Linked DNA regions of Mus musculus. The protein of the gene in region 2 purifies or fractionates together with the protein of the main gene of each other region. This does not show direct contact. Links are inferred from orthologs where the notes say so. Each region holds a gene or a part of one and is shown on either strand. Other genes may lie near its edges.

Region 1 (4,258 bases), on a different chromosome or scaffold from region 2:
GCGGCCTCTAGGCACACACTTCTTTCATCCTGGTCATTTTCATCTTTACTCACAGATATTTATTTTCATAACAAATTTATTCACCTCAAAAATACTGTCTGGCAGAGTATAGTGATATACACTTAAAACAATCCTGGTACTCAGGAGGCCGACGTAGAAGGACTCTGAATCTGAGGCCATCCTGAGTTACACAGACCCTATCTCAAAAAACTAAGGGTAGCCAGGTGGCACATGCCTTTAATCCTAGCACACAAGAGGCAGAGGCAGGCAGATTTCTGAGTTCAGTATCAGCCTCATCTACAGATTGAGTTCCAGGACAACCAGGGCTACACAGAGAAAAACAAACAAGCAAACAAAGAACAAGCCACGCATGGTCATGGAACACCTGTAATCCTAGTATGCTGGAAACTGAGGCAGAAAGACTGCTTTGAGTTCAAAGTCAGTCTGAACTACATAGGAGTACTAGGCCAGTCAGAGCTACAAAGCCCTGTCTCAAAATTACATATAGACAAATGGACTGACAGACAGACATACAGACAAACTGACTATGGATGAGGCTTAGTGGTACAGTACTTGCCCAGCATTTACAAGGCCTGAGTTTGATCTTCAGCACCACAGAAATAAATGAATGTATGCAGTTAGAAAATGCCCTCTGCTGAGAAGCACTGAGATAGTGTCCTCTGCCATCATTCTTCCTGGGCTCTACAGTCACAATATATATAGTGTGTGTGTACATGTGTGTGTGCGCGCCTGCACACGCTCATGTGCTGAAGAAGTCCAGAGCTATCCAATCCTGCAAGAGCTGGGATTACAGAGTTGTGAGCTGTCTGAGCTGTAGCTGTCTGAGCTGACTGAGCACAGTCTCTTAACTACTGAGCCATCCCATAAGCACAATTTCTATGAGCACCTAAATCAAGCCTCTGCAGTAATCCCAAGTGTTATCATAAATACCGACAACTGGGAGACTCAACCGCAATTCCTCATCATAGGGAATAATCGTTTTTTCTATCCACTGCTTGTTAAACACAGCATTTCCAAGTCCTTGTTCCACACGGGCATGAGGCATTCTGATCCTACTTAATTAACAGTGTATACCTCAGAGTTGTCTCTATGACACTGAGCCAGCATAACATAGTCTGTGACAATAAGCATGGTTATACAATTTAAGATGTTATACTAAGTTTATCGCACTCCTAACAATACTACATAAAAGGGCATCTAAAACGCCACAATCACTAGTAAATTTAAATAATGAAAATCGAGGATTCCTTCCAAAATAGAAAATGAGGTCTGAGTATTGATCAGGGTAGAACAGTTTCCAGGACCTGGGTTCCATCCCAACACCATAAAAAAAACAACACAATCCAGTTAATAGCAAATAAAATCTTAATGCTGTTATACATAAAAAGGTGAGGTCCAAATAACACAAGGAATCATTCCTTACATCTCTCTGTAAAAGCAAGACATACTAAACTCAGGCTTTTAGAAAAAGCGCAAAGTTTGTCTAAATTCAAAGGCTTCTCTTCTGTGACTGCAAGGTTAACCACAAACTACTTACGGTCAAATGCAAACTACCTCCCTCTTAATTCAACAGCTGACCCATGCATGTTTCTTTAAGTGGTACAAATAGCTAATGAAAAGACCATCCAACCCCATCCAACCGGTAGAACCCCCACGGCTCACAATCCATTCATTAGCTACAAGAATTCACTGCTGAACAGTTCAGATTTTTTAAACCTCTCCGTTTAAAGCTTGCATCATCTTCCTCCTCATCCCAACCTCTCTGGTCAGCTCACTAAACCCAAGTTGAAAGGACACGTCTCATAGGCAGAGGGGGAGGAGAGTTCCTAGGCTGGGAGCCCAGACCTGTCAAACACATTTTTTTAAGTGCTTCGGGGAAATGTCAGCCGAAATGTTCACGAGGCCCAGTTTAATGTCTTTAGAACCCTTTGTATATCCAGAGATTCGGCCAGACAAAAAGAGACCGGCTTTCGGTTTTGTCCCTCGGGGGGGTAGAGGAAGGCTGGCTGGGTGAGAGCTGGGGCAGTTTTCTGCTCAGGCCCCAGTGCCAGTTGGGTGGCCCTACCCAAAGTTGCTCGGGTCCTGAGGGCGGACGCGGACGCCGCCGCCGGCCTGGGAACAATGCGGGGCTTCGGGGCGCCCACGCTGGGGCCCGGGGAGCCAGGCAGCAAAGGCTGTCCCCCGCCCGCGCCGCCGAACAAAAGGCGCCGTGGGGCCAGCGCCCGGGCCGGGAAAAGTTTGTGAGAGGCCGGGGCCGAGGCCCGAGCGCGCCGCCCCGCACAATGGCCCGGCCGAGCGCGGGAAGGCCGAGCGCCCCGCCGCGCCGCGCCACGCCCCCGCTCCGCAGGGCTGCGGCCCAGTACCTGGTGCGTGTCCTTCCCGCCGCCCGCGGCCGCCGCTGGCCCGCCGGGGCCGCTAGTCATGTTCACGTACAGGGAGCGGGAGAGCGGGCTCCGCAGCGTCCACATCCTCCGCGCCAGCCACACGGACGCCAGGCTCAGGCACAGCCAGCCCGCCAACAGTCTCATCGGGGGGCCGCGGCCGCCAGCTCGGATCACCGCCGGGCCCAAGCCCAGGAGGAGGAGGAGGAGGAGCCGCCGCCTCCGGCCACCGTCGTCGCCGCCGGAGCTCGAGCCATCGCCGCCAAGTCGCCCGTGCAGCCCCCTTCGGGGCCGAGGCAGAGGGAGGGGGAGATGGCGCGGGAGGGGGGGCGGGGGAGGAGCGGCAGGCGCGCGGCCTTCTCACGTCCCCCGCGGCCCTTCCCAGCCCGGAACGCCAACGACTCCAGGTCGTGTTTCCACCCGGTGCACGTACAAACGCAGGAGGGGCGTCCTCCCTGCCCAATGAGCGGAGACCGGGAGGCCCGGGAGTTGGGAGAGAGGGCGTGCACGTCCTCCGTGGCGCCGCCTGGACTCATAATGGCGGAAGATCCGGGGGAGACTTCCTAAAGGGGCTACTAGAGTCTGGCCCCTCCGAGGAGGGGTCTGCAGGACTTCCGGGCTTGTCTTGCCTTAGTAACTACCCTGTGGGCCCCTCGATTACACCTTTGACCTAATTGTTCCCATTGACACAGACCCAGGTTTATTCGATAGACCCGCGCTGCCCTTCTTGCTACAGTCTTGACCGTCTATTTAATAATTTCCATCTGGGGTCAGCGAACCTGACTCCCAACTCCAAAAGCCACCCGATAGCTGCAAAGCAGAGAATCGAGGGGGAAAGAATCCCACCGCCACTCCCAGTCCCGGTGTTCCCAAGCCTGAGAAGCGGCTGTCACAGGTCTAGTGAAGCCCTCATGAGTGAAAGCTCTGCCTTTGTTGGAAACTGTTGCTCCTGGAGCACTCAACGAAATGTGATGGAAAATAGCATCTGCTGGACAACGAAGGCCACAAGTTAGTCCTGGCTGCCATGTTTCCTTGCAAGTTAGTCCTGGCTGCCATGTTTTCTCAAGCTGATAGAAGTTGGACCAGACATTCTTAAAATGTGCTCGGTCTGGGGAGATTTAGCCAGATATTTCTTAGATCATTTATAGCAGGAAGAAGCCCAATGTTTCTAAAATGAGGGTCATGAGATGTCGTTGTGTCTCAACTGTTGCTACTAAGCTACAGCATATTTCCTAGCCCAGCTACTCACACCTTCCTAGGTTTGTTAGAATATGCTTTTCATTTGACAGCGACAGATTCTGTACATTAATTTTAAATTAATTATAAAACAAATTTATCTTTACGTTAATTTCATCACACTACACTGAAGAGATTTCCGTTTATGAAATAATGACCCCTGGATGAGAAATGGCATTCCTTATCACAAACTCCTTAGGTGTTAAAGTATCTATTTACCATCTTTCGTTAATAAGAATATTTTGTTACCTAATGTGCATAGAATATAACAAAATACTTTGTCTTCTCTCATTCTGGTATATTCCCTGACATCTCTCCAAGTTGGGTGTTAAACCCAAGACTATACCTTACTAAATTGAGCTCAACTTTCTAGAAGTACTGGTCCAACATACTTAAAAGAAGCTATAATAGTGAATGTAAATGACTGTATTATGTCCCCTCTTTGAGTTCCAATAAAGCTCTTCTGTATCAAACCAGAGTCTTCACCTTTTTAAGTAAAGAGGAGATACAACAAGAGTGCATAAACGGGCATATTTCATTTCTAAAGACAAAGGATACAGAAAACTGTGTCCTAAGATTAAGCTTGCTTAACCACAGCTCCAAGACTTCAATCCTAAATG
Region 2 (4,446 bases):
CTCTTGATCAGCCCCCATCTCCGGTCCACTGAGATCCCTACCGGCTCGATGCCAGCCGAAGTTCATGGTCTTGGTGGCTGGTCGGGAAGACACCCAGAGGGCGAAGAGGCTAATGAGCATGCTGGCAAAATCCGTGAGCAGGTGCGCAGCGTCGGTCATGATGGCCAGGCTCTGTGCCAGGTACCCACCTGCAACATCGAGATTCAGGACCCTGAGGTTCCCCAAAAGAGCCAGCTCCCCTAGCTGTGTACAGCGAAGAGCCCACACACCCTAGAAGATGAGCCAAATTGGGTTCAAGGTCTCTGAGTCTCTCAGTTGTACAACATGGGCACCTGACCTCCACTCTTGCGCCTGTGGATGGAGTTCTCACAGGCTGTAGTGGAGCACACCTTTCATCCCAGCAGAGAGACAGGGAAGGCACTGAGCTGAGGCAAGCATGGGCTACTGAGCAAGTTCCAAGCCAGCCCCGGGGCTACACAGAGGAACCCTGTCTGTGTCTGTCTGTGTGTGTGTAATGCTGGTGGTGGGGAAACCGTTAAACCCAGCACTCGGGAAGCAGAGGTAGGTGGATCTCTAGGAGTTCAAGGCCAGCCTGGTCTAAAAGAGTGTGAGTTCCAGGACAGCCAGGGCTACAGAGAAATCCCATCTAATTAAAAAAAAAAAAAAAATTCAAGGAAAATAAAAGGGAAGAAAGAAAAGTCATTTCTCCATGGGAAAATGAGCTAATTCAAGCAGATTAAAGTATATTTAAAGGCAGGTTTATTGGGAAACCTCTTATGTGGCTCTCAGGTGAGTTAATTGGTCCCAAGAAAGAGGCCAGGGAAGTCTTCATGAAGAGGGAGATAGAGGGGAGGGGGAAGAACAAGGAAGTGTGTGGGAGAGAGAGAGAGAGAGAGAGAGAGAGAGAGTGAGTTAGAGTTCAAAGCAGGGTGCCAAAATGTCTGGATTATTTAGGAAACAGTCCCTCTTGGGGGAGAAGTTGTTTAGTCCCCTGGGCTGAAAAGTTCAGGGTGGAGGGCAGATTTTACCAGGTAGAGACTGAAGGAGGCTGGGAGAACCTGGAGGCCTGGTTCACTTTGTTATGTTAAATATGCACCTCAGCTGTTTATCTCAGATCTTATTCACAGAAAATCAAGTTCACCTAGGGACAGGAAAGCAAAATAAGGGCCTCAGTAGGGGCTCTTCTTATCTCTTTTATTATTAACCTAAGTGTATGTCTTTTGCTTACATGTATGTATGTATACCATATGCCTGGTGCCCACAGAAGCCACAAGAGGGCATCCGACTCCCTGGGGCTAGATAGAGTAACAGATGACAGAGCCCTCACATAGGTGCGGGGAAGCAGGGCCAGGTCCCCTGGAAGAGCAGCCAGTGCTCTTAACTACAGAGCCATGCCAAGTGATTGCCTTAAAAAAAAAAAAAAAAATTAGCCCGGTGGTAGAGGCACATGAAAGGCAGAGACAGGCAGGTCTCTGAGTTCGAAGCCAGTCTGGTCTAAGGGAGTTATAACAGCCAGGGTTACACAGAGAAACCCTGTCTCGAAAAATAATAAACAAACGAACAAACAAACAAATAAATAATGGTGGTTGTGGTGTCACATATCGTTAATCCCAACACTCTAGAAGCAGAAACAGACAGATATGAGTTCTAGGCAAGCAAAGTGAAAGCTCAAAAAAAAAAAAATAGAAAGAAAGGAAGGAAGGAAGAAAGAAAGAAAAAAGAAAGAAGAAAAAGTAACCAATAAAACGGGTAGCTATTACTGCCATTAGCATTAATGTAAACATTCAGCCTATGTGCACAGCAACTTTCACTTAATTCACACACACACACACACACACACACACACACACACACACACACACACACGGCCTTACCAATGATTTCGCCAATCATGAACACCAGGCAGATGGCAGAGGCCACATAGAGTTTGCGTCGGGCCCTCTGCTTCTCGGGGTCAGGGTGACTTCCAGAATCCTTCTGGGCATGGCAATAATGGTTGCTCTGGACAGCCAGCTCAACCGCGGGCAGGTCCACAGGAGGGATCCGGCTAGCTTCACTCTTCCACAGAGATCCTAAGAAGGACCTGGAGGCAAGAGGAAGGACAGGAGACCGCTCAGCCGGAGACGGGGGAGGGGGCACTGGGCCAGTCTCTGGGAGTTATTGCTAGTCTGCTGTTTCCAGAACAAGTAAGAACACTCCGAACCCCGCGTTGGCTGGCGGGTAAGCAGAGGTATGCAGCCAATGTTACAGGGGGGTGGGTGTGGTATTGGGGAGGTGAGTCTTGGGACCTTGTTCTATGATGGTCCCCTGCTCCTCCACCCATTCCCAGGCTGAGAGCTTTGCGAACTAGCCAAAGGGCAGTCAGTCCGGTCGAGCTCAGAGAAAGAGCTCTGAGCAGAGTTCTGGCTCAAACAGCAGCTAAAGACCATAGCTCAGCGCACCCAAGGACACCGGGCCTCCCCACCTCAGGGCTGCCCGGGATCAAAGTGCTGGAGTGAAGGCGGGGTTCCAGGCACCCTACGTCCCACTCGGGCGTACAGGCAGGCAGCGTTCAGGAACTGTGTGCTTGGCCAGGTGAGACAGGTGATCCCTGAGGCTACGAGGCCGCCGCCAATTTCCTTTCTCTTGCCTCACCCCATCCCTCGGATCGGGTCCCAGTTCAAGCCCCCGCTCGGACCAACCACAGCCGAGATGGTCAAAGAGGAGGTACGTGTGATGCTGCCCAGCTTCCCGCCCCTTGGGGCTTGAACTTACCGGGCTCCGCGCGTGCTCTCCAGCAGGTTCTGCTTGTCCATAGTCTGCATGCCGCCTCTCTCGGTGCGCCCTCGAAGTTGCGCGCGGGACGATGGCAGCTCGCAGTCACCTTCCACCTTCCGCTCCGGCCCTGCCGCTGCGCCCCGCGCCCGCCCGCTTTATCCCCGGCCCTCCTCGCCACCTGGTGTGAAGCCGCCCGCCGCGCGTCGTGTGCAAAAGCCCGCGGGGAGGGGGGAGGGTGGCCGGCTGCAAAGGGAATTGCGGCTCTGCCCCCAGGACCTGACCCCTGCATCCCCGGAGCCCGAAGGAGCTGAGCCGGACTGCGACCTAAAGTTTTTGCCTGGAGCAAAGAGAAAAGCACTTGCTAAGAGTTGCCTAGAGTTGCTAAGTTAGGACTGGATGACCACAAAACCCACTCTTCCTGGAATCCTGTAGAAAAAAAAAAGCCTTGGAATCCAAGTTTCTAGAAAATCGGCCTGGCGTGGTGGCATACACATTTAAGGCCAGCAATGGGGAAGCTGAGTCAGGCAGATCTCTAGGTTCGAGGCCAGACTGGTCTACAGAGTAAGTTTCACGGCTACACAGAGTGTCTCAAAAAACAAAACCAACCAACAATAAACCCTCAGAAAAAGAAAAGAAAGAAAATCCTTCGATTGCCCTTAGGGTAGGGATGTGACTAGCAGCTTTGATGGGGGCTACTGCGGGGAAGAGAGACTTCCTGGAATTGGATTCTTGGTGCAAGGGAGTGACAGGGGGCTGGTGCTCTTGCCCCGTGGCTGCAGCCAGAGAGGATCTGCCTCCCCCTTGCTGGGGCGGTGCCCCACAATAGGGCTGTTGGAGTTACAGACCCATTTTGAAAGTTCCTCCTGCCTTGCACTCTCTGATTGCGATCTGGAGTGGCCAGATCGGCCGCTTTATCTCCGTCTCTACAAAGAACAGTGTCCTGTCTTTTTAACCGATGCTATCTGGGGAGAACAGACACACTGCAGGAGACTGTGTACCCCAGAAGCCCAGCAAATTCCTAAGAGATGATGTGGGACCTTCAACGGAGAAGACCACACCCCACACTTTTCTCTTCTCTTCTCTTCTCTTCTCTTCTCTTCTCTTCTCTTCTCTTCTCTTCTCTTCTCTTCTCTTCTCTTCTCTTCTCTCCTCTCCTCTCCTCTCCTCTCCTCTCCTCTCCTCTCCTCTCCTCTCCTCTCCTCTCCTCTCCTCTCCTCTCCTCTCCTCTCCTCTCCTCTCCTCTCCTCTCCTCTCCTCTCCTCTCCTCTCTTCTCTTCTTTCCTTTCTTTTCTTTCTTTTCCTTCCCTGAGACAAGGTTCTCTGTGTAGCCCTGGCTGTCCTGGAACTGGCCATGCTCTGTAGACCAGGCTAGCCTCGAACTTAGAGTAGAGATCTACCTGTTTCTGCCTCTCCAGTGTTGGGATTAAAGGCATGTGCCACTATACCCAGCTTGCCCTATGTATTCCAAACAGTCTATTTTTGGGGGGATTGGGCTCTGCGATTCACTCTCCCCCCACAGCTCAGTGCTGATAGATATCTCCTTCCGGTTGATGATCTCTGTACTCAGTCACTCCATCTCCTAGATTCTTCATGACCTCAGCTTGGAAAGTATAACTGGGGGTGTAGTTTGTGGATTGAGCAGTCATGCACAAAGCCTTGGAGCCTATCCAGTGCCCAGTGCGGGAGAAG

What was found.
Region 1: the proteins of Slc30a2 (region 2) and Mettl9 purify together in Homo sapiens (co-immunoprecipitation; 3 studies listed by BioGRID and IntAct, with this or other methods). This does not show direct contact. The link is inferred for Mus musculus from reciprocal best matches to the Homo sapiens genes SLC30A2 and METTL9.

The regions. Positions count from the first base shown.
Region 1 is NC_000073.6:121,033,102-121,037,359, reverse strand, and holds the start of Mettl9 (methyltransferase-like protein 9 precursor), read right to left. Parts: upstream 2,916-4,258; 5' UTR 2,550-2,915; coding exon 2,385-2,549; intron 1-2,384. UniProt on the Homo sapiens protein: Protein-histidine N-methyltransferase that specifically catalyzes 1-methylhistidine (pros-methylhistidine) methylation of target proteins.
Region 2 is NC_000070.6:134,341,645-134,346,090, reverse strand, and holds the start of Slc30a2 (zinc transporter 2), read right to left. Parts: upstream 3,046-4,446; 5' UTR 2,805-3,045; coding exon 2,755-2,804; intron 2,642-2,754; exon of another isoform or gene 2,465-2,641; intron 2,084-2,464; coding exon 1,875-2,083; intron 189-1,874; coding exon 42-188; intron 1-41.